Nothobranchius furzeri: one gene and its partners. The protein of the gene in region 4 interacts with the protein of the main gene of each other region in a biochemical or structural test. Links are inferred from orthologs where the notes say so. Each region holds a gene or a part of one and is shown on either strand. Other genes may lie near its edges.

What was found.
Region 1: of the proteins of cdk1 (region 4) and runx1, one has a biochemical effect on the other in vitro, tested with the Homo sapiens proteins (2 studies listed by BioGRID). The link is inferred for Nothobranchius furzeri from reciprocal best matches to the Homo sapiens genes CDK1 and RUNX1.
Region 2: the proteins of cdk1 (region 4) and pbk form a complex in vitro, tested with the Homo sapiens proteins (2 studies listed by BioGRID and IntAct, with this or other methods). The link is inferred for Nothobranchius furzeri from reciprocal best matches to the Homo sapiens genes CDK1 and PBK.
Region 3: of the proteins of cdk1 (region 4) and h1-0, one has a biochemical effect on the other in vitro, tested with the Homo sapiens proteins (3 studies listed by BioGRID). The link is inferred for Nothobranchius furzeri from reciprocal best matches to the Homo sapiens genes CDK1 and H1-0.
Region 5: of the proteins of cdk1 (region 4) and rpa2, one has a biochemical effect on the other in vitro, tested with the Homo sapiens proteins (2 studies listed by BioGRID). The link is inferred for Nothobranchius furzeri from reciprocal best matches to the Homo sapiens genes CDK1 and RPA2.

What each region holds. Positions count from the first base shown.
Region 1 is NC_091743.1:80,942,819-80,948,801, forward strand, and holds the start of runx1 (runt-related transcription factor 1), read right to left. Parts: upstream 4,835-5,983; 5' UTR 4,659-4,834; coding exon 4,571-4,658; intron 1-4,570.
Region 2 is NC_091742.1:11,217,268-11,223,289, forward strand, and holds pbk (lymphokine-activated killer T-cell-originated protein kinase homolog), read left to right. Parts: upstream 1-1,905; 5' UTR 1,906-1,970; coding exon 1,971-2,034; intron 2,035-2,558; coding exon 2,559-2,751; intron 2,752-2,910; coding exon 2,911-3,050; intron 3,051-3,624; coding exon 3,625-3,794; intron 3,795-3,888; coding exon 3,889-4,018; intron 4,019-4,146; coding exon 4,147-4,332; intron 4,333-4,456; coding exon 4,457-4,689; 3' UTR 4,690-4,851; downstream 4,852-6,022. Other genes in the region: N-acetyltransferase ESCO2, read right to left, coding at 5,342-5,474, 5,639-5,823. UniProt on the Homo sapiens protein: Phosphorylates MAP kinase p38. Seems to be active only in mitosis. May also play a role in the activation of lymphoid cells.
Region 3 is NC_091756.1:32,652,880-32,659,006, forward strand, and holds h1-0 (histone H1.0), read right to left. Parts: upstream 3,686-6,127; 5' UTR 2,258-3,685; coding exon 1,673-2,257; 3' UTR 1,249-1,672; downstream 1-1,248. UniProt on the Homo sapiens protein: Histones H1 are necessary for the condensation of nucleosome chains into higher-order structures. The histones H1.0 are found in cells that are in terminal stages of differentiation or that have low rates of cell division.
Region 4 is NC_091752.1:60,126,990-60,133,268, forward strand, and holds the start of cdk1 (cyclin-dependent kinase 1), read left to right. Parts: upstream 1-2,605; 5' UTR 2,606-2,701; exon of another isoform or gene 2,702-2,706; intron 2,707-2,761; exon of another isoform or gene 2,762-2,825; intron 2,826-3,052; 5' UTR 3,053-3,058; coding exon 3,059-3,095; intron 3,096-3,321; coding exon 3,322-3,478; intron 3,479-6,279. UniProt on the Homo sapiens protein: Plays a key role in the control of the eukaryotic cell cycle by modulating the centrosome cycle as well as mitotic onset; promotes G2-M transition via association with multiple interphase cyclins.
Region 5 is NC_091745.1:71,983,150-71,989,128, reverse strand, and holds the start of rpa2 (replication protein A 32 kDa subunit), read right to left. Parts: upstream 4,062-5,979; 5' UTR 3,934-4,061; coding exon 3,921-3,933; intron 3,699-3,920; coding exon 3,613-3,698; intron 3,406-3,612; coding exon 3,304-3,405; intron 3,125-3,303; coding exon 3,011-3,124; intron 1,657-3,010; coding exon 1,582-1,656; intron 1,324-1,581; coding exon 1,207-1,323; intron 1-1,206. Other genes in the region: smpdl3b (acid sphingomyelinase-like phosphodiesterase 3b), read left to right, coding at 5,673-5,760, 5,868-5,979. UniProt on the Homo sapiens protein: As part of the heterotrimeric replication protein A complex (RPA/RP-A), binds and stabilizes single-stranded DNA intermediates that form during DNA replication or upon DNA stress.

The DNA of each region.
Region 1 (5,983 bases), on a different chromosome or scaffold from region 4:
ACGCACACACACACACACACACACACACACACACACACACACACACACACACACACACACACACACACACACACACACACACACACACACACACACACACACACACACATTACATCATATAAACAGTAGAGGGCAGTAAGGGATCTAATTCAAGGAACTTCTGAAAGTCAAAGAGCTAAATAAGTTGTTTCTATAGTTTTTAAATTACATTATTCTAACATCAGTTAACAAACAATTTAAATAATTTATTTAAATCATAAAAGATTTAGGATGCTCCAGGTGTTTATTACACTTCAACTCCGTGCTAATCAGTTAAATGATGAGAAATGGCCCGCACTTCCATAGCGCCTTTCAGATTAAGAGGACTCCAAAGCGCTTTACACCGATGAGCTACAGTGTAGCCACAGCGTTTTTAGCCCCGTTGACTCACATTCATTTTTTCGTTCTTCCGGGGACCCATGAGCCACCCGGAAAGGGAGGAGACTTAGCCTCCCTATATCTTGTTATTTACAAATCTCCCCATCACACTGTTTAGAACCTGCTTATTTATTTTATTGTATTTATTTATTCTTCATTTAACAGGAAGGTCTTTTTGAGATTAAAAATCATTTTCAAGGGAGTCCAAGAGGAAGCAAAATATACAGTCACAAAATTTCTGTTACGCATTTAAACTTCATGAAAGTGTTGAACCAAAATGCAGAAAAATAAAAACAAGAGTGACTCATACTGGTTTGAAAACAGACTAGAACAGTGTGAATCACAGAGCTAGTAAAACATCTGGATGGAATCAGAAAAAGCTATTTTTAAAAATGAATTTTAACAGTAATTTATGTCACATCCAAATGCTGTCAGAGGACATTTAGTTAAAGGCCACTTTGCCTCTGCTTCTAGCTCCTCATAGCCAAGTGTGTGTGTGTGTGTGTGTGTGGGGGGGGGGGGGGGGGGGGGGGTTTAAAATGTAAACACCTCATCTCTCATCGTGACTTGAGTTGGACATATCCTTTTGGAAATCGTTCGGTTCCTCGTCACCAGAATCTACACTTTTCTTGGTTATCTGCAGAAAATCTGTGATTATTTTCTAACCAGTAAAGAAAAGAAAAAGTGACAGAATGTTATTCTGATATATTCCTCTGTTGTTCATCTCATCCTTTCTGACTTCCTCACAGATCTAAACAGAACAGACGCTGCGAGCTACATAATCATGTAGGTAAAGAAACAGACTTGTGATGAGAAAGGAACAAGGAGAAGAGTTAGGTTTCACTCATCCAGCATTTCCCACAGACTGACCTGTAACCTGAGCTTTCATCCTCCTCCTCTCCAATGATCCTCCAGATATCAATCAGGATTTACATCAATAGATGAACTTCTTCCACAAGAGTCCTTCACCGCAGGCCTGAGAGCTTGAGGGACCTTCTAAATGCACCTTTCCAGCAGCAACACTCAGCTTTACTCGGATGGGTTTGGTTCAGTTGGATTGCATTTCCCAACAGTCACTGATTGGCTAGGGAGCTGAGTGATTGGTTCTGCCTGCTGCTGTTTCTGGGTTCAGAGTCTGTCAAAACCCATCCGACTGAGCTGAATGTTCAGCATCACCGCCACTGGCCCACAGACTGGTCACATGGTGCCCTTAATTTAATTTTGTGGCTCATCCCATCAACGACTGTGGGACAAGGGTGGCAATCCGCTTTGTCACTAAAGGTGTTCGAGTGAGGGTGGGCACCTGGTGCCCCACCCACAGTGTGTGATGTGTGTGGGTGGAGTGACGGCGCCGCTTACAGATCACGTAATGCATTTGTGTCGGGTAAAACTTGAGAGTTCCACAGGTGCTAGTTTGGGTGGTCACAACTCTAAGTGCTCTAATGACCTCTGGTCCTACTCAGGTCCTAACGCTCCACAACCTCTAGTTCTTCTCTCATCCTTTGGTGTTTCTGCATCTTCTCATGTCTTTTACCCCGATGTTCTAGTCACTTGGGTTCTCCGAATCTTTCACCGCCACTTATTCTGCAGATTGTAGACCACCATGATTTCCACTTGGTTAGCCATTGCCTGTTTGTCAGACTGGATCCACTCATGGTGGAGAATCCCACTCTGACTATAGAACCTTTAACCCAGATTAGACTCAGATTTTCCTTTACACTGTTCTAGCCACTCGGTTATGGTGTCCCATTGCCTACATCTTACATCCTGCTATTATCTGCTGGACTGTCTCAGGGTCATCTCTGAATTGTCTCCATGGTCCTATCTGCTGTTGCTCTTCAGCTAAGGGCTTGCTCTGATGCTGTCATGAATAGACTCTCTGTTGTCTTTGTTTTGCCACTGGTAGGATTTTCAGACGTCAACCACTTCCGCTACAACCTTGGACACAAAGTGTGACATTTTTCTTCAAGATCTTTTTTTCAAAACTCTTTTATTTTAGTTCCAAAGTCAAAATTTCTACACGTTGTTGACCTTAAATTCCTTAAGATTCCTCTTGCTTTATGGGTATTGAGCGCTATGGCTTGTGAGCTTTATCATACAGCTAAATATCTATTGGATCTTTAGGTACCAACTTAGCGTAATGTTCTCTGTGATGGTGCAGGTAGGAACGGTCCTAGCAGAAGTTCAACAGCATTTTCATCGCTTGATAAGGGGTGGGGTTCTAACTTGGTAACATGGAAGACATCCAAGCTGGTTTGGCATTTACGTCTCTTAATCATTCAAAAATTGCGGAAAGCATCCTTGGCCAATATTTTAGTCCTTGATCTCAAATAAAATAGCTTTATTCATGACAATTACAGTAACTCCCATAATTAATCATGTCAGAGCTCTGTCACATTAATGCAAATAAGTGATTGCTGGCCACGCCCACCCATCCATGAATGGCTGCTATGAAGTGAGGAGCTCTGATATACGGGAGGGGCTTCAAGAAGAGCCGCTGTTCCACCTTGCCCAGAATGGAAGCCTCCCTAAGTGTGGACCAGTGAGGTAAGGGGTGGTGGTGGTGGTGTAAATTTATTATATTTTATAAGCCTTTTTCATAAGACAGACATGCCGGCATGGCGTTGCGCGAATTTTGCGGCATTCATTCCGCCTCGCTTGGTAGTAATACTGCGGTAATGGTCTGTCGTATGCGCCCTGGCGCAACAGAGGCAGGTGTCATGATGACGTGGGGAGTTACTGCTGAGTTCCGGCTGGCAAATTTATTGAAAATGAAAGTAAACCCAGGCAATAAGGTTTGCTTTTTGAACAAAATCAGCTGAGATGGCAAACTGGAGCGCCGCAGCGCTCCATGAGCCTCTCTGTTAGAGCTGAAGCTCAGATCACCAGAGACTGCACAGGGACTGATGGGGACAGACACCTTTGGGAGCTGCTTGTTAAAAAAAAGTAACGATCACGGCTTCAATCGCAATAAAAAGCAAGTTATGTCCAAGATAAACGGAAGTGTGCGGACCGCTCCATACACCCTTTATGCTGCCATCATCTAATCTTTTATAAAATTGCCACGATTGCGCCACATTACCGCCATGGTCTGATCTTATAAACGACCTGTATCCTCCTCAGGGAGCCGCGGCAAATCCCGTTTTACAAACGCTCTGGTCCTGTAAAAACAGCCATAGAGTCAGCAGAGACCTACATGGAAGCCAAATGGGACTTCTGCATGATATGTCCCTTTCACAAGTATTTACAGACTGCTCTTTAACAAATAAAACGTTTCATATCAAAGGGAATGTTTGCACTGGTTCAGGACAAACGTATTCCCTGGTGTTTTGTTGGATCTGCTTTGGCAGAAAAACCCTAGAAAAAGCACTTAGCACAAAAACAAGATGCTTGGAGGCCTACCGCTACAGCTAGGTCTCAATACGCATGCCCAGAGACAGTTTCTGACACTGGTTGTAGGGTGTGAGCACACATGGAGCATCATATTGAAAATGTTCAAATGTTTACTAAAACAGCTGCTTTGAGTGGAAATAACAGAGCATGTGGCACCTCTAAAGGTTTCGGATCCAGCCTGACACACAACTAGTTTGATACCCCAAATCTGTAAGATGTAGATGATGGATGGATGGATGGATGGATAAATGGACAGACAGATGGATGGATGGATGATCCTGCCCCCAGGATAGTCTGAAACAAAATGCGTCAAGAGATTGTAAGTTTAATTTAATGATAGGACAACCATCGTAGAGGTAATCGCACACAATACATGATGCATTTAATACATGGACCATTGGAACCACTGGTTTTTAGGAACCAGTAACAGGCTTATGCAATACCCATGCTAACTGAATCCATCATGATAAGCGATCACCCATGACAGCCCTGAGAAAACACTATGACCCATAAAACTCTACCAAGGACAACAAAACACCAGCAATGCTCTTACTTTTGCTTATACACCCAACTACTGGATAAACCCGCATCTGGGCAGACCTTTAAACTACCAGATATCTGTGATGTGAAACTCGAGATCAGACAAAATACCAACAAGTGGAATATGACATGCTTTTCATTGAGTATTTGATTTAGTTAAAAACGTGATGTGTGATGGTAAAGACTAGAAGGTGCAAAAAAAAAAAAAAGCAAGCTTTACCGAAGAGTCCGGTGCCCGTCTGCCCTTTCCTCATCAGGTACACGGCCCAGGACAGGGGGCCAGTACTGGTGAAAACCCCAGGGTTCATAGTGGAATCCTGGGTGCAGACACAGCCGTGACCTCCCAACACCACGAACAACAACTAGCAAACAAAAATAAACAGCAAAGGCATTAACTGAACAATTATTAAAAAAAAAAACGTTTTATCTTCTAAAATTCCAGGAAAAAAATTGATTAGTAACAAAGCTGCAAAAGCGAACAGATTCGTTTCAGCTGGTCCTCACCTTCACAACCTGCTTTTATACCCTCCCTCTCATCTCCTCACCCACTCGTTTTGTGTCCTTTTACCTCACCCCTCATATTAGTAAAAACCAGAAAGACCGTGGAGTATAAAGTGCGAGGAAGGGGAGGAGGGAAAGAGCCAGTCAAGCTTAATTCATGCCTCCCTTCTCTAAAGCGTAGCCACAGGGGACGGAGCTCCACTTTGCCCTCAGGCTCTTTAAACCTGCTAATTTAATTTAGCTACTCAAATGATTTTCTCCATTTTTTCTCTTAGCCTCACTTCTTTTCTGTCACTATCTTTATTTCAAACTATTTTGACATTACAATAAAACAAAACATCAACAAAAAAAGCTTGATTTGGATGGGTTTGTCTTTAGTGTACCCCTGCTTAAATTACACCTCTGGTCTCAGCTTCTCTGTTGACATTTTATTCAAGTTTAACTTGAGACAAAAGAACAAGGAAGGGTGCACAACTTGTCAACAATTTAGTCTCAGAAAGTTGGTTTATTTGTTTGTTTAATTGTCTAATCTGTAAATTGTTTTCTTAATTTGTTAGAGTTTTCTTTTTTTCCTTATTTATTCAATGTATTAGCACATCAACACTCTTAAAATTAGATTTAGTTTGTTAGGAAGAATAAAGAAAATGATGTGAATAAAATGTAAACATAAAAAATTCAACAAATGCATCTAATATAGAGCAAAAATAATAAAAACTATAGAGTATCAATGTACTAGAAATTTTCCAACTTAAAACTTCGTATTTGATATGCAAGCTGTAAGACCAGTACGAAGTTTGATTGATTAAATTTGTCAGTAAAATGCAATGAAGTTTAGACAGTTCAGAGGTTAGAGCGCACAACACTAATTAAAGTTTTCAATTAAATTTGATTTTATTTACAAAGCGCCAAAGCCCGACAAGAGTCGTCTCAAGGCACTTCACATAGTAAACATTCCAATACAGGTCAGTTCATTAAGCCAATCAGTAAAAAGTTTCCTTTATAAGGAACCCAGCAGGTTGCATCGTGTCAGAGTCTTTACAGCAATCCTCATACTAAGCAATCATGCAGTGACAGTGGAGAGGAAAACTCCTTTTTAACAGGAAGAAACCTCCAGAGGATCCTGGCTCAGTAA
Region 2 (6,022 bases), on a different chromosome or scaffold from region 4:
TAAATTGTGCTGAAGAGGTGGCAAAGAGAATTAAAAACAACAGTTTCCCCGGGACTGAGCCCTGTGGAATGCCATAATTCAGTATCCATGGGAGATCAAACATGGGATGTAGCCGCATTAACCAAGCAGAGGTATGAAGAACACTACTGTAGTGCGGTTCCTGACACTTCCACGTAGCACCTGTGTCTCATAGAATGTGGTGATCAACAGTATCAAATGCTGAGGAAAAATCAAGCAAGAACATTATTAATGTTTTGCTGGAGACAGACATGCCAAAAAAAATGTTTTTACGTGTCATATTTTGGCAATCTTGAAATTATTCAAAAAGTACTTGACAGACTCAGAGATGGTTTGACTCAAACTAGGGAACTTGTGCCATAATTGCGACAGGTTTTCACAGAAATGTTTATAATATGTTAAATAAAGATGATTAAAAGTCAGATTCAAGGGGAAATTTAAGAGCTGTGAAAACCCACTTATATGGAAAACATTAATCTAGATACCTCTGGATCAAAAGAGGAAATAGTGAGCATATTTCACTAGTGAGATAGAGACAGGCTTAAATTAATTGCAGCGATGTGCAAAATTTATGAGTCATCAAGTGTTTTCTAAAGGTTTTGGACAGATTTGCATGAGCACAGCCAAACGCAAACGTGATTAATTTCTGAAATCCCGAGAGGCAAATGTGTTTTCCTCCAGACTCGATGGAGGAACTCAGTTTGGAACTGCTTTTGTCTTGAACTACAGGTGAGTGTGATTTTTTTTTTCTAGGCCAACACAGCAGAGGAACAAAGTCAGCATTTATTTCATTTCCTGCATGATCACTGGTCATGCTTTGATTTTTAGTTCCAAGAGCTTAAACGTGAAAGATAATGTCAAAAGTATTTTGTTGATACCTTTAACTGGAGAGCAGATGCTTCACGTTTGCACTGCTCAGCAATACGTCCGTCGTGTGCTGCAGTCCACATGTGAAAACCACAATCAGAAGTAGATTTATGGCACATAAATCCTGGATGATCCTGAACTTTAAGTGTTCACATTTTATGACCATAAAAGGAGAGTTTATGTTTTTAACCAATAATCTGTGTTTTACCAACAGTAGATGTTGGCACAGCCGTAGAAATCGGTTGTCCCACAGCAAATTCTCTGTTTTCTAATCAGTAACGGACCCACTCTATTTTATAAAGTGCTCCAAAACATGTGGCAGTGGTGCTCACCAGCATGATCTGATTTAACTTCTAGGTGAAACAGGAACTGGGAGAATAATAGAATGTCCCACTCTTCCCTTCCATGTCCATTTGTCATCAGACCACATTCCTGTTTCTCTTCTAGCGAGGAGATTGAGCTGCACAGCTCTGTGCGATGTGGGAAAAATAGGAATTAAGTTTGGGATCATGAGAGTCAAGGTCGAGGTCTCGACTTTTCTTCTTTCGACAAAAGCTTGAAGTTGGTGAAACAAATTTTAACATGCTTCATGTTCCACTCACGTTTCTCAAGTCTTAGTAAAAGTGAGCTTTAAATCATTATTTGTTTGAAGGTAAAAGCTGCATAAATAGTTTTTAATACATAAATTAATGTATATATCGTGAAACAATGCACCATAGAAAACAACTAAACTGAATCGTAGAAACCGCCACAAAAAGATTGAAAAAACCTAGAGGTGTTTATAGATTTAACATAAAAAAAAGTAAAAAACACGTCTGATTTCAGATGAAGAACTTAGCTCATATATCTGAGACAAATCGGTAGATAAATAATTATGTAGTGATAAAAATGCATGTTGTAAACAAACTTTGAGAAGGTACACTTGTTCAGAACCCTATTTCATTGACATGAGCACCCTCTAGCGGTGCACAGCGGCATTACAATAACTGCATTAGAGAGTGGTTTTGTCATTTTAAAAGCGCACTTTTTAGAGAGCAGCAGTTTGTCCCTCTTCAGCTTCCGTGTCTGCCTTAGTACTAGTTTGAATGTTCAGCGCGGTTTCTTTGTTGAAGGAGATTATTTTTAGATCAGACAGCAACAAAAACTCGGGTAAGGTTACGTTTATCAAATTAAAGTTGATTCTCATTGGACTGACATGAAATCCTGTAAGGTGCTAAAAGATTAACGCGGTATTAACAGCGTTTACAGTTGGTTTTAGCCTTTTTTAACGTTAGGTTTGGCTTCCCCTCTGTCGTTTGCCTGGGTGGTTTCTGTTCAACAATATTACATAAGACTGAGTATAAAGCGTATTTCCCGTTGTTAAACATGCTTGTACTTTTCATTTACCTTGATTTAAAATGGTCCAAATCCTGCTACATTACAAAACAGAAACATTTCCTCAATAACACCTTTGCTAACGGGCCTTGTGCCAGCCTCCACTCAAAAGTTGTCATTTTATTTCCGTTCTTAATGGTAAACGGGCAATTAGACATTATAGATCGGCATTGTTCTATCAAATATATTAAACTTTCAATCGGCGCTATTTAAAAGCCCTCAAACTCGTTTTGCTATTATTGTACAGTTTAACATCTGATCAAAATAACGTATTTGCTAACTGTTATTTTTTCCGTAAGGTCCAATATTGTTCTTGAACGGAATGGCCTCCCATCCAGTCAACGAGGGCGCGTATAAAACCCCTAAAAGGGTCGGGTCAAAGGGCTCCAACAGCAGCAGCTGTGGTGACAGCACCCCTGTCACCATCCCCGCATCACCTTTCATGAAGAAGCTGGGCTGCGGGACTGGAGTCGACGTTTACCTCATGAACAGGTTTGATGTCAGGGGCTCACACAGCACCTCTTCCTGACATCAGGGTCTCTTCTAAACTTCAAACCACTGTTTCTCCATTCAGATGGATGATTAAGTGATTATTATATCTGAAAGTGAATCATTTCAGCTCCAGTAACAAATGTATGTTTTTATCTCTAGAGTGGGAAAGCTGAATGCATCGCCTTGGGCTGTGAAGAAGATCAACAGTAGATGTGCATCCAAACAGGCGGACGTTTATCAGAAACGTCTCAATGAGGAGGCGGAGGTCCTAAAGGGAATCGATCACCCAAACATTGTTGGTAAGCCAGCCTTAACATGCATGAGTGGTTTTTCTAATTCCCACAAGATGCTCACATCATCCTGGACACCAAAGATGTGTCATCATTGAATTTTCTCAACAATAAACAACCACTGTGCAGATTTAGCTCATTTAAAGAGCAAGTCACCCCCTACCAGATTCTTACTCAACTCCCACTTCCTGTTTGACAAATGCAACAAATGCTGTTGCCTAGCAGACCGAGAGGGCGGAGCCGCTATCAAATACACACACAGGCTCACAATGATATTGTGACATCATATGGTACCAGCTAACGTTCTAGGGTACCTCTTAGCCAATAGTGATGGCGGATTTAAATTCAAAAGTAGTGCAGAGTTTTTACCTGACTACGGCACAACACTGACAGTTTTAGGCAGAAAACTGACTACACGTGTCTGCAGCACTATTAGACACACATTTATATAGTTTATCAGGGGGGAAAAGTTGATTTGGGGGTGACTTGCTCTTTAAACATACCGTTGAAGTCTGGAGGCTGTATGAGATTGACCGTTTTCACAACTCTGTTTCACTCGCATTGTTAATTCTGTCTTTTTGAGGTTTTCGTGCCTTCACTACAGCCAAAGACGGCTCCAAATGCCTGGCGATGGAGTACGGAGGAGAGCAGTCCCTCAATGACCTGATCGAGAAGAGGAAGGAGGAAGGTCTGACCGCTTTCCCTGCCGCTGTTATAGAGAAGGTGGCTCTGCATGTGGCTCGTGGCCTGATGGTAATTAACTTTATTGTCAAAGCTTGGTGGAATGAAACATTATTCATTATCTTTCCTGTTTTAAAACAAAACTTTAAACATATTTGCTTTGCAGTATCTCCACAATGAGAAGAAGCTGCTGCATGGCGACATGAAGTCGTGCAATGTGGTCATCAGAGGAGACTTTGAGACGGTGAAGATCTGTGATGTTGGCGTTTCTCTGAAGTTAGATGAGAACATGATAGGTAAACGTTCACATTCAGCTCTTTACTGGCAACACAATATGTATTATTTCTACATGTTTCTGCTATGTTATGAATTGAATTACAGTATGGCTCCATCGCAGTAAATAGAGTGCTCTCTCTCTCTTCAGTGGCTGACCCAGAAGCAGAGTACATCGGCACAGAGCCATGGAATCCCAGAGAAGCAATATTAGGAGGAGAGATCACCGATAAGGCGGACATCTTTGCTTTCGGTCTGACTCTGTGGGAGATGATGACTCTGGCGATGCCTCATGTGGATTTGCTGGAGAATGATGAAGAGGAGGAAGAATATGAAGGTGAGAAGTTCTGTAGGAACATTTCAAGGTAGAATTTAGTAGCTGCTTCCTTTGACTGGAACATTACAGAAGAAAAGTGTTGTGTGGTGAAAGCTAACAAGTTTAACCATTGGGTTTATTTCAGAAGACTCAATGGAGGAGACATTTGATGATGAAGCCTACTATGAGCGTTTAGGAACACGACCGCCTCTGGACACGGAGGTTCTGGGCAGCCCGTACCGCAGGGTGGTGGAGCTCTTCTGCGTCTGCACATCAGAATGTCCTAAGATGAGACCATCGGCAGCTCAGATCGTCCAGGCTCTAGAGGACAACGCTCCTCTGGGCACGGCTGCGGAGGCGGCGATCGTTATCGACTGATTCACTCAACAAGCACATGTTTACATTTCAGTCTAAATCAGAAGTTCTCAGTTCATATTCCCCACATTTGTTTGTTCTGTAGATTGTTTTTGTCTGTCAGCTTTTCCTGTATTTGTATTCGTTTGTGTTTCTGTCAAACAGTAAATGTTACAATTCTAACAAGTTCGTCCCAATTTTTCCAACATTTCCAATGAATCAGGAGACAATCTGCAGTAATGAGTCAAAACCAACTGGTTTATTAAAATGTACAAAGCACAAATGCCCAACAACAAAGATGGCATCCATGCATCAACAGGTTTGTGCTTACCGGTTTCGACAAGATCCGGCTAAGATTGGTGTTTTTCTAACTGAAGTTTTGCTTTAACATGAGAAGTTTCCAGTGACTGTAGGTTGAACCTCTTCATGTAGGAGAAACATTCTACTAACCCACACAGTGGAACTGGCAGCACTGAACAATAACACTGAATCTCAGTCTCAAAAACTCGAGCTATTTAACAGACTTTAATTACATAAGTTTCATTTACACACAGAACTCAAGCTCAGCCTAATCTCACAACTTTGCTTTAAAAACTCTTGACAGTCTTGATGTGATGCAGAAAACTGAACAGCTTCATAACAGAACATTCCGAGTCGTTTGGCTCGTTTCCAAACTTTAGGAGACAAAGTTGTACACCAGGAAGGTCGGCGTGTTGCAATACTTGGTTGCAAACAGCTTCCCATCCGGAGTCGGATCAGAGAAGGCGATTTCCTCCTTGGTCAGGTAACTTCCATATATGAACGTTCTCCTAGACAGAATTAAAAAGATTTAATACTTGGAGTCATTTTGGACTCATCCTGTTGCAGGAGTCAGGAAAAATGTATCGTCAATGAAACTTTAGCTCCAGAACTACTAATTAAATCATTTTATCCAAGTGACCGTATTTCTAAACCAGGCTGAAGTCGACCTTACCTGGCGGTGTCCAGCATGCGGGTCGCGATGCTCTGCCGTCGGGATTGACTGAAGACCCAGACCCGACTGATCCCACACACAGCTGGTTCTGGGACGGTGGAACAGCACCAGGCTCTGTGTCGCTCCATGAAGTCATCCTTTGTCATATCTTTGTTCGGAGCCGGCTGCTCGAGGACTCTGTAAGCCTGAAGGGGAAACAGGAGATGTTGACCTGCAGGCACGACTCTTCATGATGGAGATTTAGGAGTTAAACATCAAAACACGAGTTATGAGTAAAAGGTGTGGCACAGTTTATAGTTAGCTTGAAACGCGTCGATTAGGGCTGGAAGTAAACGATTAGTTTTATAACGATTATACTGCCGATTATTTTATCGAATAGTCGAC
Region 3 (6,127 bases), on a different chromosome or scaffold from region 4:
GTGAAATAGAAATATGATATACAATATATACAGTAAAAATGATCTACAGTAGTACCCTGTAGGATAGTGCAAAACAAACAATTGGATAACTCAACAAATAAATACATGACTGCATCCTGGTGAATAAGTAATTAAGCCGTCGGTGCAGGCGATTCACAAAAGTGATTAAAGTATTGTGTTATAGAATTAGGGGTAGTAGTAGCAGCATATGATATGATGGGGGGATAAAAACATACTTACAATCAGAACTCTTGGGTAATATTGCACAGTCTGGGAGGGAACAGAATAACCTAGGTAAAGGTATTAGGAGAAACACCTACAGGGTGAGGAAGAGTAATGCCTTTCATTGGTTGATTTTCAGTCATTTTGAACTGATTCTTCTGGGATTGTTTTTAAGTTGTTTCAGAGAGTACGGCGGGTTTTAAAGAAGTGGGGCCAACAGCTGTAGGTTTACAGGACATTTCCCATACTCATGTGGACGTTTGAAAATCTTACTCAACCAATCTGGTTGCATTTCTCTAATTATTCCACAAGGGGCAGTCTCATAGCAACATAAATATAATATAGTAAATATAAACTATAGTAAATGTACTACTATATAATATCTATGAGCTAGCCCATCCTACATCTGTCTATGTAACTACAATTTGTGTTTAATCCTCCTTGTCCTCATCTGTGGGAGAGAAGCCGTCTATTCATATAAACCACCACAAGATGGCAGTGTTGTGATGCCAGGTGAGAGGCAGAACGTGAGGGCATGGGCGTGCCCCCCCCCCCCCCCCCTCCCATGACAACAGGTTAGGAATCTAGAAGAAAATCACTGCTGCAATATGATCTCTTAGAAATAGATTTAGTACCGTTTTAAAGACCACTTTCTCCTAAATTGATGTTTCCTTTTAATCCGAATTAGTTGTTTTGATTTCAGCTCCTTTTGTTCCATTTTTCTCCTTAAAACCCATTAACTCTGAATAAAGATCAATCGTCACCCTACTGAGGAAATTAATGAGCAAAACTTCTGTTTTATCTATTTCTGCATTAAATTTTCTGCTTTAACACAATAAAACATTAATCCACACCAGTTCTTTGGAGAGCTCTCAATCTATAACTGTTACAGCTTCTTGAAAATTAGTTTACTTGTTATAAAAAATGATTTAAGGTATTTATATTGGTATGGGTGATTTAATGCGCTTATTTGTATTAGATACGCAGTTAAACCACCTCTTTAATAAACTGAGAAAAACAAGCAAGTTGACCTTTTTAGATGATAAAGGTTTATTGAATAGCATTAAAGTGTCTGAACACATCAGAATGTTTGGAGATGTCATAAAATAAAATATTTATATTTAAATATAGACAATGCATGTTTAATGAGGACTCTAGAGCCTATGGTCTGTACATGGTAATGAAGGCTCCACAAAACTCATATTTCCAATATGAACACGTGCTCTAACAATCACTACTCCTAGTTTAACTTTATATACACGCTCTAATGCAGCGATGCCTATTTGTGTTCAGTTATTAGACAAAATAATGCTATTAAAACCAAATAAAAAATGCTTTTAGAGAAACTACTGGTACAAACAGCTGACATTTGCATGAAACCTTACAAAAATAATACATATACCAAAACATTTCCTCAAGTATTTACAGTCCGATTTAAATTGTCCCACTTTCACTTCTTTTTGGCAGACTTGGCTGCCTTCTTGGGTGTCTTCGCCTTGGGCTTGGCTGCTTTCTTCGCCGGCTTGGCTTTGGGTTTGGCCGCCTTGGACTTCTTCGCTGGAGCCTTCTTGGCTTTCGCAGGTGTCGCCTTCTTCGCGACCTTTTTCACTTTCTTGGCAGCTGCCTTCTTGGGCTTCTCCGGGGTCTTGGGCACCTTCTTGGGCTTGGCCGCCTTCTTTGGTTTGGGTTTGGCCACTTTTTTGGGCTTGGCGGACGCCGCAGCCTTGGCTGGCTTCTTGGAGTCCTCCGGTTTGGTCAACCGGAAGGATCCGGACGCGCCGATTCCCTTGGTGTGGCGCAACATCCCGGACGCCACCAGCCTCTTCAGGGCCATTTTAATCTGCACGTCGGCGTTGTCGCCCACTTTGTAGGTCTTCCTCACGTACTTCTGGATGGACTGGCGGGACGCTCCGCTCCGGCTGGCGTCGTGCACAATAGCCGCTTTAATCATGTCCGAATACTTGGGGTGAGAAGCGGGCTTCTTAGGCTTCGACGCCTTTTTGGCTTTGGCTGGAGCTCCCGACGTCTCTGCCATGGTGACTTTTTTCCCAGCAAGTTTTTAAAAATAAAAGTCCTGGATGTGTTGGTTTCACCCGCCTGGGTTGGCTTGATCGTCAGGAAGATACAAAAAAAAATGTGAGCGTTTTAACAGTAAAATAAAAAGTTGTAGGTTTAAGTTCGTTTTTTATCGTCTTTGAAGGATTGAAAATGATAATTGAGTCTCCCAAAAGCAAAGAGAGGTATCAGTATGTCGGTGAACCAAAGTGTCTTTATTCCACAGGCGCTCCAGTGAGCCTATGAAGCCTATCTGCGGACGTGATTGAGAACACCAACTGCCAGCAGCTGATCTAGCGGACTCCATGGAACTGGCGCCGTCCCGTTTGTGTTTCTTCATCCTCCAACTCGCGTCAAATGTGAACCCCGCGGAGGAGCTGTGTCCCTCCGAGCGGGACGGGCTGATAGCAGGCACATTCGGCTCCACGGACATCCACTTGTCCTCCTCCGCCCGCGCCGGCGAACAACTTTTATTCCAGGAAAACCCACTGGAAGTAGTGCGTGCCGTGAACAATTTTGCACAATTCGCGCTAAATTGACCCAAACAGACGGAACCTGGGCGGAAATCGCGCAATGCATAAGAAAATCTAATCTATGCTGGAGCTGGTGCACGTGGTTCGGACGGCGCAGCCTCTCGTTTATGCTTTTAATACTTCCATACATTTTCCCAACTAACACAGTCCGGCCATTGACTTTGAATGACGTGTTCGAGATTATTTACTGTTAAACCTCCTATAAATGAAATGTCACAGCGTGTAATGTGCAGGTGACAGGTGGGACTCCATCGGGGCTTCATCTGGGCGGTGATCCGCACCGTGGCTTTTCTTTATTTGATGATTTTGGAGCAGAAATGCTTATAAGTGCGACTATAGCAGGCGCCTCTGGAGCTCCATTGTCAGGAAAGTTGCCAGCACCTCCAACACATCAGGGCTCGTTCTGGGGGCATTCGTTTAATTGATCACATCATTTTAGGACAGGGTTGCGTCCGGAAGTGGCCAGGTGTGAGTCCAGCTGCGCGGGGGTAAGAAGGGGGGAGATACTGCGGCCGAAACCAAAGTCCTTCAGTGCAAATGAGCGCAGTGATGGCTGTCTTTGTTAGGGAGCTGGCGCATCAGAGCGCATTCAATTAGATCTGTGACATTTAGGTCCCCGCCGTGTTATAAGGTCAAGAGTGCCGCCGCAAAGCATAGAAAACCTCCCTTTAATAAAGAAACTTTATGATATTTCTACAGTTTTGTTTCTTGATTTAACAGGAGCGCTGCTGTCCCTCCCTGCAACGCCATTTTGATTCCTATGAAAGTCACAGCTGCTGAAGTAGTGCTTTTGTGGCATGCTTACTTTATTTTTTTCACTATATTTATGGAATGATATGCAGATATTCACCTTTTTTATGTAAAACCCACTGATGAGCATCGGTTTTAGGGGATCCGGTGGCTTTTAAGGGGGGAGAACCCCTATAATGCAGACTTTTGCAGGATGATGCGCTTTAATTAAAATGATTTTAAACTGAAGCCTGGCTTTTACAGCCTGATGCGCTCCTGTAGTTATGTTGAAGGTGATCAACAATAACTTTAATTTTAAAAACGAGTCGCACTGTGGTTAATTTCCACATGTTTTTGTTTGTTTACAAGAGGGTGGGCAGAGGATGGAGAGGGGAGAGAGTGAATGGGTGAGTGTGCTTTCACGGGAGGCTAAAGAGGGAGGATGTGTGTGTGTGTGTGTGTGTGTGTGTGTGTGTGTGTGTGTGTGTGTGTGTGTGTGTGTGTGTGTGTGTGTGTGTGTGTGTGTGCGTGTGTGTGTGTGTGTTAGTGAGAGAGAGAGAGGCACAAGAGAGAAAAGGGAGGGGGGTTAGTCCTAGATGAAAGGGTGAGGGAGTTTTTGAAAAGATGAAAATGTTTCGATGGTGCAAACTGAAGTGATGAGGGGAAAAGAAGATAATTAACTAAGTAAACAATGAACTCATTTTCTGTTCCCGACTCCAGACTGGTGGTTTCTGCTGCGGATGTTTATAGTTAGATAAAGTGTGGAGACTGGAGCAGGTGGGTCTTCGTGGTCCGGTCCGGTTCGGAGTGATGCCTGCTTGTGCCCCGTTTAAGAAGCGAAGCCGTGGGGAGGACTAGACCACTCCCTCCCCTCAGCCGCCGACAGAGGGACGTCCTACTGGACCTGTAATCGGGATTTCACACACACATAAACACACGTGCACGCACGCGCACACCCAAGTGCCTTCGGATTGGACCTAATTTATTATATAATTGCTGTTTTATATCGTTTTCTTTGTGTTGAAGGTGGATTATTGTTGTGTTGATGAATAGCTCATGTAATGCAGCCGTTTCTTTCAGGATTTAGTGCTTTTTATGACACCAGACCGATATTGTTGAATGAACCCTACCAGTGAAACCGGTCCACGTGTTCACATAGAATTTAGTGAAATGGCATTGAAAAGGACTGTGCTGCTGTTCATGGGGACACAATGTAGCTCATTAAAGGTTCTGTTTTTAATTGTGAATTAGTTTGTGAAAACGTTATATTTTACCACTTCTAGCCCTTTAATCACTGAAAGTCAAAATAATAAAATTGTATTTAAAACTACACAATGTATTTGATAATGTAAACATGAGGACTACGTTATGAATTTTATTCTATTATATAATAATAATATAACAATAATGAATGAATGAAATTGACCCTATATCTATATCCTCATGGCAGTACACGTGTATAGGAATGAATGAGGTTGATTAAGGTACTAATACTAATACTCCATCTGACCTTAATGCAGCTTGACGTGAATTTGTGAAATAAAAGCTCTTTGGATGGCCCCAGTTTGGGGAAAGAGAGCTCTGACCAGATTTATGAACCTATACTTTGTTTTGTTATGGCTAGTTTAACCCTTTGATGCATAATGGTCACTACAGTGGACAGGTACTCAAAATTGTTATTTATTTATTTTGCTATTAAGCACAGCTGTTGAAGACTTTATTGCATTTGAGCTCCTCCATTTGCACTTCAGTAAGTCAAGCCAACATATTTCATGTTCAGAATGCACAGTAATAAATTAAGCAATTTATGTGAATGCATGTTTAACCCCTTGTAGACTAATTTTGCAGACAGGTATCAAACTCCTTCGGGCTTTAAAGTATCTAGATAGAGTATCAGGATTAGTACCTTCATCATAAACCTGCCATGGCGAGAACCTATTTTACTTGTCTATTGTAAATACATAATAAAATAATAATTATTATGCAGATGTTTTATTAACATTGAGTTGAAACTGTTTTAAATGTTATTGATATATCTAGGGGTCGGACCTTGACAATCAGTCAGTTTCTCGTAATTCTGGCATGAATATGAAAGCCTGACCAGAAGTGTAACAGATCTCTTACTAACTAGCTGTTAATAGCTCAACTATGTTCGGTACCTTTATTCTTTATTTTTGAGTTTGGTGTGAATCTTACTTGATATTGCCAATCTGCTTTGCTGCTTGTACACCAAATATGTCATCACTGAGGAACAATAAACGAAAAAAGGAATTTTTTATTCCAATCTATCAAATGTTATGAAAAAATACTGGAATGCAGATATGGGTTTAATGTTAACATAAATAGTTAGATTTCTGACATTAAAGAGCAAGTCACCCCCACCAGAGTATTACTCCGCTCCCACTTCCTGTTTGGAAAATGCAACAAATGCTGTTGCCTAGCAGACCTAGAGGGCGAAGACGCAAACAAATACACACACACACAGGCTCACAATGACATTGTGACATCATATGGTACCAGCTAATGTCCTAGGGTACCTCTTAGCCAATAGCTATGGCAGACTTAAATTCAAATGCAGTGCAGAGTTT
Region 4 (6,279 bases):
ATGTATGAATGCTGGTGACAAGCCTTAGAGATTTACTCTCAGGTGGAGCACCAAAGCTTCTGCTTTTAATGTCACGCCTGATACTTAAAACTTTATTATTGTTTTTTGAATGCTTTGTAATTCCGACCAGACACGGAGACAAAAAGGAAGAGACAAAAGGTGGGGAGGAGGGGTTCCACAAAAATAAACAATTAATGATGAACAAGAGTCTGCTTCTAGATCTGCAGAAAAGGGAAACACAGCAATACAACAGGAGCAAGCTATCACTGCGTCAACCTGATGAGGAAATATAAAATCAACATTGTTTTACTGAACAATCACACGATAATAAATCACAGTGCATTTAGTGTTAACCACAGCCTTAAGACATTTGTTGAATGTGCCTAAGTCCATACTTATGAGCGCACCATGTGAGCACCTGTGTGTACACGAGCTTGTATATGAGGTTTCTCGATAGGAGTGTCCAATAGAGAGTGTGAGGGGCCACAGATCTACCCCGCAAAGATGTGTAAGAGATGGAGGAAGCTCAAAGTCCCAGAGAGCCAGGAGCTGCCCCAGAGCACAGGGACCCCAGGGAGACTGCGACCAGAAAAGCCCCTGCCCCCTTTGAGAGGCACAATGGATTGCCCCAGGGGGCCACAACCAGCAGCCGGCAGAGTCCCAGCGGATATCAGTGGCAAGCCCACAGGCCCACCCGCAGCCTCCTACCCACCAGCCGGCCGAGCCCGGGACCCAGCGACCCGGGACCCAGCTTCTGATAAAAGTTAGAGATAAAGGAAGAAATTTCATTTTCATCTTTTGAGAGATTGTTATTAATATATAAAGTAGATGTTTTTTGCCTTTCCACGTTTTTTTTCCAGATTAAAAAGAAGGATGAGTTTTTTTCTCCGTGTTCCAACCATCTAGCCCGAGACCTTTTAAAAGCTCCCCTTGCCTTTTTCTGGAAATAAAGGTCTAATTTTCCCCTTAATGAGTGCAAACGCACACATGTATACTTAAAATTTCATTAAACTCTTTTAAACAATCAGTATAAGCTTTATTCTGCTCTCTTATTTGTTGCTTTCCAAAGCGCATTGAGAAGCGCTGACATTCAAATTTGAAAAGCTCCCATTTTATGGTAGGTGTAATTTCAGACATTGAATTGAATTTAGTAGCAATTTTTTCAATGCCCAAGCAGTAATCATTTTATTGTAGCAAGGAATAGTTTAATTTCCAATATCCAGGTTTGCTACAATTAGTGGATCTTAAATTTGATAAAAATATATCTATCCCAGCATGATCAGTTAAGGGAGCAATAGCAATATTACAGCTTCGAACCCAGGGAGCTAAATTATCAGAGATTAGCCACAAATCTATACGCGATTTTTGAGATAAGTCTGTTTTAAACCAAGTAAAGAGGTTATTTTCCAAAAGGTGTAAAATTCTCAGGGCATCTAGTAAGGAAAGTTTACCACAGAAATCATAAATAACAGGGTTAAAATTATCTGGACTACCTTTTGCAGGAAATCTATCTGAAAATAAATTTGGAGCTTCGTTAAAATCACCGCCAACAACCACAAATGCTGAAGGAAATTTGTTCAATTCCATGAGGATTTTTATCAGATAAAGAGTTGAGGAGCGTGGTGTTAGAAACCCTAGATTTAAAGCCATAAACATTTACTAAAATAAAAAAATTATCTCCACATCTAATGACCAACAGAATCCATCTGCCGTCTTCTGAAACCTCGGTGTCTATAACTTCACCATTAAATTTAGGATGAAATAAAATTAAAACACCCCCTGAAAAATTAGTACCATGAGAAAAAAATAGCCTCCCCCCACCCATTGATTATGCCAAAATGTAACATCTTTTGAAGAGGGATGAGTCTCCTGTAAAAAAATAGACATCCTTATTTTGCTGCATACAAAATAAAAAATAAAGCTTTTCTTTTGGTTAAATCTCGAACACCCCGTACATGTAGAGAAAAACACGACAAACGGAAATCAGACATCTAGACCACAGAAGAACAAAACTACTTGAACAGTAGTTGTATTAAGTTATGTGAAAAGTTGAGAAATGTGCAAAACTTGAACTCACAAGCCAAAACCTAACACTGAGTTATCAAAATTGGAACAGACCCATGTAAACTATAAAGCAGGATCATACTACAAATTCAAAAACCCATAGCAGGTATCTAACTATTTTTAAATAGTATATGTTTCTCCCTCTCTCCTTTTTTAAAATTTTTTATCCCTCAAAACCTGCTCAAAACTCAAGAGTTGGAACCAACCAATCAGTATAAACAGGTGCCAAACAAAACACAGCCGTTATTTCTTTCATTTTGTCTACTTAGAAGAAGATAAGGCCAGAGGAATAGAACATCCGAAGCTTATTGCTTGGTTGACAAACATCAACATTAAACACGGTTCATCCAAGATGATAATGACATCAACTACCATGCTAGTGTTTAGAATTTTACACGTATTTGTAATATCCTACTACCCGTAAACGCATCTAAACGTTTAAACGTGTAGTTGCTACGTAGGCGCCTTGTCTCCCGCTCAACCCACAACGAAATGTCTTTATTTCTGATTGGTGTGTTTGAATAGTATCAGCGTATCTTATTGGTGCATTTTGAACTGCCACTGCACTGCGGTCTATTCAAAAGAGTTAGTCAACTGCAGTCAGCTCGTGAGCAACCCGAATCAGAAACGACACAAAGTAAGGTTGGATATTTTTCTTACCAAACAGCATTTATCCATCTTCAGATTGAACAAACGTGTTCTGGCTAGGAAGTGTGACGGCGGTTAAAAAGTAGTGCTGCTTCACCTTTTACCTTTTAGTGGTAGGTAGGCTGACGTTGGTGGATAAAGCAGAGGAAGCCGTTTTAAAAGCTAGTCTAGTTAGCCGTAAACCACCGAAGTCAGTCTCTTGATTTAATTGTTACACACAAGGATGAGGAGTCCAGCTACCTTTAGCTCCGATAGTGTCAGGAAAATATTTACCAGGAAGTATAATAGGTCGGCTGGAGCTGAAATAACAATAAAACACGTCTTCTCTTTTTTCCTTTAGGCAAAGATGGACGATTATGTCAAAATAGAGAAAATTGGAGAAGGTGGGTCTACTTCAAAAACGTTCCAGATTTTTTTTGCATCGTTGTGATTAAAAAAAAAGTTCTCACAAAGTATGAGTTTAAATCAGTTCCTGGACATATTGTACTTTGTGTGATATGTATCTTTGCGTTTCTGATTTGTGAAACATGAATGGCCCGGTATGATGTGTGCACAGGAGGGTTGTGTCCACATGTATGATTATTTCTTCTGCTGAACGGTTGCGTGCAGGCACCTATGGGGTCGTGTATAAGGGCAGGCACAAGGCCACAGGGCAGATTGTGGCTATGAAGAAGATCCGTCTCGAGAGTGAGGAGGAGGGTGTTCCCAGCACTGCTGTCAGAGAGGTGTCTCTACTACAGGAACTCAAACATCCCAATGTTGTACGGTAAGGAAAAGCTCCTTCATCTAAAACTTTAGTTTTTTCAAGGTTTTGCTCTCACTTTTTGTTGGAGTCTTTAGTTTTCTCGCTGTAATCCAGCTGGGGCTCTGGCAGATGTTTTCCACTCCCCTCCTTAAAAGTACCAGTGTAGTTTTCAGCTTGTCCCAGGAATGCTGAATCTAATTCCTCCTTTTTTTTCCATTTTCCATAATTTTACCATCTTACATCACACCTGTAACGTCACAACTGGTTTGAAAATCTCACAGAACTTCACTAAAACACTAGTTTAGTGTTTTTCTACAGACCTACAACAGCTGACGCTGTGTACACGTGACTTTTTGTGATACTGCTGAAACCTCAGGCTGTTTGTATGAAACAACCAATCATCTGATATTTGGTGGAAGGGCTGTAAAATTTCAATTCAGTTTATTAATATCACCAAATCACATCAAGGGTCGTCTCAGAGCACTTCACAGAGTAAACGTTCAAGTTCAGTTTATTATGTCAAGCAAGTCAATTTTATTTATGTAGCACTCATCACAAAGTGATTCACATAAAATGGGCCAACTAATAAAAAAAGTTTTCTATCTAAGGCCGGGGTCTCTAACCTTTTGGAGCTACTTTTACACAATGAAAGTACCGAAGAGCTACCGCCATACAATTATTCACATTGATACTTTCCATGTGTGAATATGCTTATTTTAAAAATGCTATACTTACTATATTAACATGCATTGTATTCACAAGCTGTTTTCTCTGTATTTAAATACATCCATATTGTAACAAAAGTCAAAGGAAAATTGTGACATTCCTGTTTTAAAACAAAAAAAAAACATTTTTTTATTAATCAGATATTTTCAGATAATTAACAACAAATGTACTTCGTGTGAATGATTTGACCTTTCATTGCTTTTTGAATGGATCAGTAACCTTTCTGAGCACACGGGAACACCTAAACTGCTCCTGTTGACTCCCGGGCCCTGTGTCCTGCCAGGAGCCTTGGCAGTAATGTCAGTTTTTCATAGTGTAAGCAGTTTTGTCATAAATGATCATACTTCCTAAAAACTAAAATCTTTTCAAATAATTATGCTGTGAATATTTTCCCAAATTAGGCAACACCAAAAAAAAATCCCCTAAAATGAATAATGCTGAAGATATTTTAAATAAAATACAAGCTAAATGTGATGTAAACACAGAATTCTAAATAGTTTGAACTGAAGTAAAAATGTACAAACAGAAGTAATATTTCTTCCTGCTTTCTTTGATTCATTGAATCATTTTTATAGGTTATTTTGCTAATGAAAGTTAAGTTTTGATCCACTAGTGAATAACTGCAGGTAAAATGGTGCTGTGCTGCCTTTTTTACGTTAAAATAAGGTTGGAGGTTTATCCTGTTTCTGAGCCTCTGGATCATCTAATCCGTGGGTCTGATGGCTGTGTAGGCCTTCAATACTCCGTTCATTACTCAGTGAGGCAATAGCTAAAACATTTGAGGGAAATTTGTTGATAATAAGTCACAGGAGATGTCCAGATGGTTTGGAAGCCTTTGTTCATCCAATGTTCAAAAACGGCATTTAATTTGCTTTTACTTTAGAACAGACTTCACTGTTGCCCAGAATATTTTACTGAGGATGTTTTCTACTCCTTAATAGTGTTAATTTTGACCAGAAGTTTTAATTTAAATTTTGTCTTTTGACTAAAATTGACAACATTTTTGACCAAATTTTACAAGATGAATGAGGAGTCAGATGCAAGCAGGAGTGTCATGGCTGACTGACACTCCTGTTGCTGGTCTCAGCTCAGTTTGCTGCGCCATGTTGTGTTAAGCCTGGTTTATGCTTCTCCGTCAGCTCCGCAAGGGACAGACACGCACGGATTGACGGAAGCGTTTTGCTCTCATACTTCTCCGTCTCCTGGAGAGTGTTGCAAAGCAATTGCCCGGCAGGACCACAGAAGGTGCAGCGCTGTTCTGTGGTATCCTGTCATGTATCCAGTCCAAGATAGTGTGTTTATATTGTGTTTTTTGTGTATATAAGAGACTTTTAACACGGACATATTTGTCTCTCATTCTCCCACCACTTCATGCACTCACCACCTCTAAACCCACGTTTCCTGTCATTTCCGTCCACAAATAAAACGCTTGCTGCGCATCGTTTCACTCCTCCAGTCACGGGAGGATTAAACGTTCATATTTTTAGAGTTTTTTCGTGAGGTATTCTTCAAGCTTCTCCGTGTCTGCCGCTAGTTATCCTCGGCTCTCTTTGCAATGGTGGTGCTGTAAACAACAGCGGCGTCCTGACCAATCACAAGCTTGCGTAATCCGTCTCGTTCGACGGATGTTTAAAAAAGTGGGCTCGACTCCGTACGTACTTGCGTGCCTGCCGGAGCCCTACGCAAGGACGGATAATGGCGTTGCGTGTCTCCGCACTGACGCAGACGGAGAAGCATAAATCAGGCTTTAGGCTCAGTGCTTTGATGCGAGGCTTATTGTGTTCTAAAAATGAAACAACTAAATGGACTGTATTTGATATAGCACCTTCTAGAGTCCTGGAACCCCCCAAGGCACTTTACAACACAATCAGTCATTCACACACACATTCATACGCTGGTGGGAATGAGCTACGATGTAGCCACAGCTGCCCTGGGGCGCACTGACAGAGGCGAGGCTGCCGAACACTGACTCCACCGGTCCCTCCGACCACCACCAGCAGGCAAAGGGAGTGTCTTGCCCAAGAACACAATGACAGTGATAAACTGAGCGGGGCTCGAACCTGCAACCTTCCGATTATGGGACTCTGAAAAGGGTG
Region 5 (5,979 bases), on a different chromosome or scaffold from region 4:
TTAGGCTATAATTTCCAGCTGTTGCCTGGAACCGGTGCTAACCACGTCGTGAACGTGGGATTAGCCATACAGTTACCATTAATGTTGCACTTCCCCATGGCGCAAACTCCCACTAGCGTGCTCATCTAAAAATAGCCCCATTTCACAACCAAACGAATGTGTACGGTTCCGCTTACGCCAATATCATACACAAAAAATGCTGAACTAACTAGAAGTTCACGAAAATTTTATAGAAATAAAATAATCTCGTTTATTGGGTCTTCGGGAATTTAAGACCTATGGAAACTATTTAAGGATTATTTGTCATTTTTAAGGATTTTTAAGGCCTTAAATTTGGAAAAGCAAATTTAAGACTTTTTAAGGACCTGCAGATACCCTGTAAACTGGATCTAACTGGTTCCTGCATGTTTCTATCTATCAATAGTTTTAAAGACTAATAAAATGAATTAATGGAAAACATAAAAGTAGCCTTTTATAGTCCGCTTCAGTGAATCTAACATAATCTCACTCGTCTTCTTTAAAGCAGAAATTAAACAGTTTGAAAGAACGAGGCTGAAATTTTCTCTAAAATTCTTCAATATCAGCAAAAAATCTGCATGAAATACAGACTTGAAAACTTTTTTATTCACTAACATTTCAGAACATCTGTTCATTCTTTACAGACTCGCTAGTTTTTATTTCAGTTTTTTAAATTAGGGTTCCTTCCAGTCTCCAACTGGTCATGTGATCTGAATCTGCAGATCTCTGAACTACTTGTGACAAAAAGAAAAACCTCGCCATCTCCTCGTGTTCTGGTAATCTACATGAGGAGGAGTTACTGTATGGAGAAAATCTGCTTCCATGTCTGCATAAAGATGAAAAGTTGCCATTTCTTGTAGAAACAAAACTATGAAACAGTTTTAGAAGGAAGAATATAAATGAGCAAATTTGAACTTTTCAACTTGACCAAACAGCAGTGATGTGAAACTGCAAACATCTTAATTATAGAATATGTTGCATTAAAAAAAATTTTTTTTTTTTGCAATTTTCTGTGAAACTTAGAGACGGGTTATGGAAAATAAAAATAGTGATGCTCTGTTAAATTTCACCTTAAATGATGACATTTAAGAAAAACAGTTTGCGTCTGAACTCTTCAACTTCCTCTTTCTAAGACGACTTCTAGCACATAAGGAGACTTCTGAGAAATGTGTGTTCGGTGCTTCTAACCGTGCTCGGAGATTTTCCCAGTGCCATGTGTGCCTGGACGACCTCCAGCATGTGTGAGGTGATTTCATTCATGTCCTCTAGGGGCCGGATGCGGAACGCCACGACAGACCTGTGGTTCTGACACGGGAAACAAACAGCTTCAGTTTCTTCAAGGATGATTCCACAGAGGAACTACAATAAGTACACAGCCATGGGATTAATGGCTGTGTACTTATTGTAGTCATGAAAACATTTTCACATTTTCACAATCATCATAAACAATGAGTTTTGTTTGTCTAATCTTATTCTTGCCTGGAGCAGCAGAAATGTTGATGTTTTAAAAACAGTTTTTGTTTACTTCAGGGGAAAAACAGACGTTTGTAAAACTAAACTCACCTGAAAAGATCGCAGATTTCCCGAGATTTTGACATATGTTCCTGGAGGCAGCACGCCGCTGTCGACGCTCGGGTCCTGCACACACAGGTGAACATAATTCAAAAATCACACCTTTGTGTAAACTTTTTATATTAAAAGTCAAATTTACTCATATTTAATACATTTGCAGTGGTCTGTAGTAGGAATCCATGCCTTGTAAGTCATTCTCTGAGGAAAAAAGCTCAGATGCTCCTGTTTTATTACGTAGGTAGGATTTGGAGTCTTATTTCCTAATATTTGGACATCTATCCTCTGATTGGCTAACAGCAACACAGCTCTACCACTGACTCTGCTCTGCGTTTTATCTCCACATATAGCACAAACCTGAAGGAGTTCTGCCATCTTGTCGAGTTGCTAATGCTAACGAGACACGCTCTGTCCTCTCCTGGATGCTTAACTAACAACAGCCTTCCCCGTCATGAGATAGGCGAGTCCATGAATGTTAAGTGACAGTGTGACATAGATCTGTTAGGCTTTTGTGAACCAAACTTTGTTTTTCTTCATTTTTTCTATCAAACGTAAATGCAGGAAATAGGGGTAGGAGACTGTTTTCACGTTAAGCCCGCATGTTAAACTCTGAGTGACCGATCCTTTAAAACGTAATTAGGAAAAATGGTTTCTCAGTGAACTTGCTCTTTAATATGACAAAAAAGAACATTAATTCAATTTTGTTAAGTTCATTTATACAATGCCAAATAACGAGTCGTCTCAAGGCACTTCACAAAGTAAACATTACGATACAGGTCAGTTCATTAAGCCAATCAGTGAAAATGCTCCTATATAAGGAACACAGCAGGTTGCATCGAGTCACTGACTAGCATCAGTACAGCAATCCTCCTTCTATCTCGTTAGAGAAAACATAATTATTTTTAATTAAATTTCTGTTTTCACAAAAAAATCTGGTCCTAACTTTGGGGAAGGGGTAGACCGATAAATCGTTCGGCCGATATTTACCAGCGTTTATACTTCGGTATTGACCGATATTTGTCCTTAGTAAAGCTGATTTGAACAGCCCGGTGCTGTTGGAGAAAATTACTTTGAATGTATTTTTACATTCACTAATAACATCTGCATAATAAATATTCTAAACTAACTTTATTTAGGTGTCTGACTTTAAAATGAGAGTGCACAAAGTAAAGATTCAACAGTAAGTTAAATTTAGAGTTCACAAACTGATTCAGCTTCAGAAAATTTGTGCATTAACTGATGTTGTGACATTTTAGCAGGAAAGTAAGGTGGAAAACATCTAGATATCAACCATTTGCTTACAGTGTCTCCTACATATCGGTAATAGAAAAACAATATCGGTCAACCTTGTGGACTTGGACTTTAGGAAATGGACCCAATCTTAACTAGTAAAAAAAAATCACTAAACAGTTTAATCACCCACCTCAGTGTCCACCCACTGCTTCACATCCATCGGTGCACAAGTCATATCATCAACCTTGTACTGGATATTGGTCATAGACTTGTCTGTACTCCTGATGATGCCCACAATGGTGACCTATAACACAAAGATAAAGCAAATTACTACTATTCATCATTTTAACATTTATTTTAGTGTAACCTGACAAAATTATGCCATCACTATTTCATTATTATTACAGTACCATTATGTAGGGACTTTCTACTTCTTTCTAACTGAATGCTGTCACATGTACACTTTGCCTTGGTTCAGCTTACCTGGGTAACCTCCACATCTCCCACTTTGAAGGCCTCGTCTGCTTGTGAGGCGGACATCAGCTGAGACACTGTGCAGGGGATGATTTGTGTGGCACGCGTTCTCTGGTGAAAAAAAATCATACAATTTTTAGTCTATCAACATTTAATCTTGCATAATCTACAAATATCTGAGTATGTGATATTGATCCATTGGATTGTAAAATGAATGTAGGAGAAAAAGTGTAACCTAGCACTTATTTTTTAATCAATTTGGGCGTGAGTCAGGTTTGTCTTGGATTAAAATCTGGCTATAACAAGACTACAACTGACCCCTTTCTTCTCTCCTCCCTGGGATGCAACAAATCCTCCAGGAGACTGAGTGTATCCCCCGTCCACTCCAGACTCGCTGTAGCCTCCTGAAAGATCAAAAAACAATTAGACTACAGTAAACAGGAGCGATTATTCGAAGTAAAACGTACTTGGGTAACATACACAACTCGGTGTAATAGCATTAGCGTTAACCTCATGAGGTAAGCGAACGTTGACTGCCAAAGTCTTGCTAACGTTAGCCTCAAACAGACATCTACGTGCCTTTACTGATTTTTAAACACAAATAACCGAGTCTGCATTCAACTCACCCTGATTCCACATGGTGCCACCGCGTAAATAACGTATTAAAAAGGTGTGCAAATGTTTTAAAACTTCCGAAACGGCCTAGTATCCCAATGTAGCTACGCAGTATCTCTCCTTAAGTAAACTCGCGCGCTAAACTCAATGTACAACGCATGCGCACAGTATAAGTCCCGCGAACTCGTAACAACTAAGGTACATTTAGCCCTGAGCTTTGTTTCACAGGAATTTTTTTCAACGTTTTGTCGACTCATTTCTATAAAAATAATAACTAATATAATCCTTGTAAAAATGTATTTCCGTAAAATAGCATAATGTGTGTAACTAAAAGAAGACATTTTTGTTTTTTTATGCTTTTCCACCTGACGTCAAAATACGGGGAATATTTTAGGCAGGTTGCATAGCACATTAGTTGCATTCAATGACTGTCGTAAAAGACAAAATGCACACGGAAAATCTTTCTTACAATTTTTTTTTATTTTGACAAATACAAATATTATTGTGCTTCTACAATAAATGAAAGCACAAACTAAGTAATTTTAAGTTATGAACTGACCCTAAAATTTTTACGTCTATATTTTAAGAAATAATAATTGAATCAAATAAACTGTTTCAACGTTAACAGGGCAGGTTCTAAATAAACAGTCTTGCATGTATATAATAATATTATTGATATTGATTGTTAATTATTTCAAAGCAATGCAATTGACTGGCAAATCAAAAGGTGTTGCAGTAATAGATCCCGTGTATGAAAAGAAAGCAGCACCAGTCTCAACTTTACTTGTATTTTTCTTGTAATGAAACACTTAAAAGTATGTTGGAATTCATAAAAGCTCTAAGAGTTGTTTATGACCACATGTGGGTTCATTTGGCTTCAGTTTCCCGACAGGAAACTAACTGGTTTATATTTAGAAGACATAAAAATAATCTATGGAGGAATTTGCCCCTGAGGTGCCATTACTAGTATAAACCCTTTTACAGCGTCGCCTGTGCATAAATACACTTTGCATTGTCATTAGTCCACACGGCCTGATGTTAATTTTATTTTTGTGGCAGCCAGTATTGTAGAAACTTTAAGTTTATTCATTTTATATCAATCAAATGTGAGCTACTCTTTTGATTTTGGTTTAAAGGTGCAGTATGTAAGAATATAGTGAAAATTTTACAATGAGAACATCTCAGCTACGGGGATTGTCAGTTTTTTCTTCTTTCAAAACAAATAAGGAAGGAGGGGTGTAACTACTGTTTACCATCAGTGAGTGTGGGGTTGCCGTGTCTCCTGCGAGCTAATACTGCAGCGCCGACAGTTGTAATTTGACGATAGCCGGCAAAAAGGTCCAGTTGTTTAAAGAGGTTGCAGTAAACTAATTCTCCCACAGGATGTTGTTTTTACTTCATTTCTACATAATGCACCTTTAAGTGGAAAAACTGTGCAGCTGTTGACTTTTTCTTTGATTTTTTTTTTACATGCACACTCACAGCCTAGATATCATTGCATATACATTTCAATCTTACCCAAAAAAATTTGCACAAATTACTTATTTCCTGCAGGCTTTTAAATGTTGCTCTTTATTTTTGGAAACCAAAATACCGGTAATCAATCAGCTTGCATCGGCTGTGGCTGTGTGGCGTGGCTTGTCATTACCAGCTGCCTGCAGCTATGACTGGACGACTGCGAACCTTCACCGACAGCTGCAGCTATCTTATCTTGCGTTGCCTTTTATGATTTACCCCTCAGACCTCTCCTTGGCTTTCTTTGAATGTATTTTGCTGTCCCAGAGTCCAACATGTCTGCAGTATGGATCCTCATTTCTTCTCTGCTTTTCAAGGAGGGTCTTGCGCTGTCAGGTAAGAAGCAATTAAATTCTGTTATGCATTAAAGAGCCTATCTCTTGCATTTCCCCCCATGTGTAGGGACAATTTACTGTGCATATTTACACATTGGTTTCATCCAGGGAGCTTTTGGCATATCACCGATTTGCATTGGGATCCAACGTTTAAACTAACGGAGAACCCAGAGTCAGTGTGTGCGTCCAGCGGAAAACGACCAGCGCCTGGTGCTGGTAT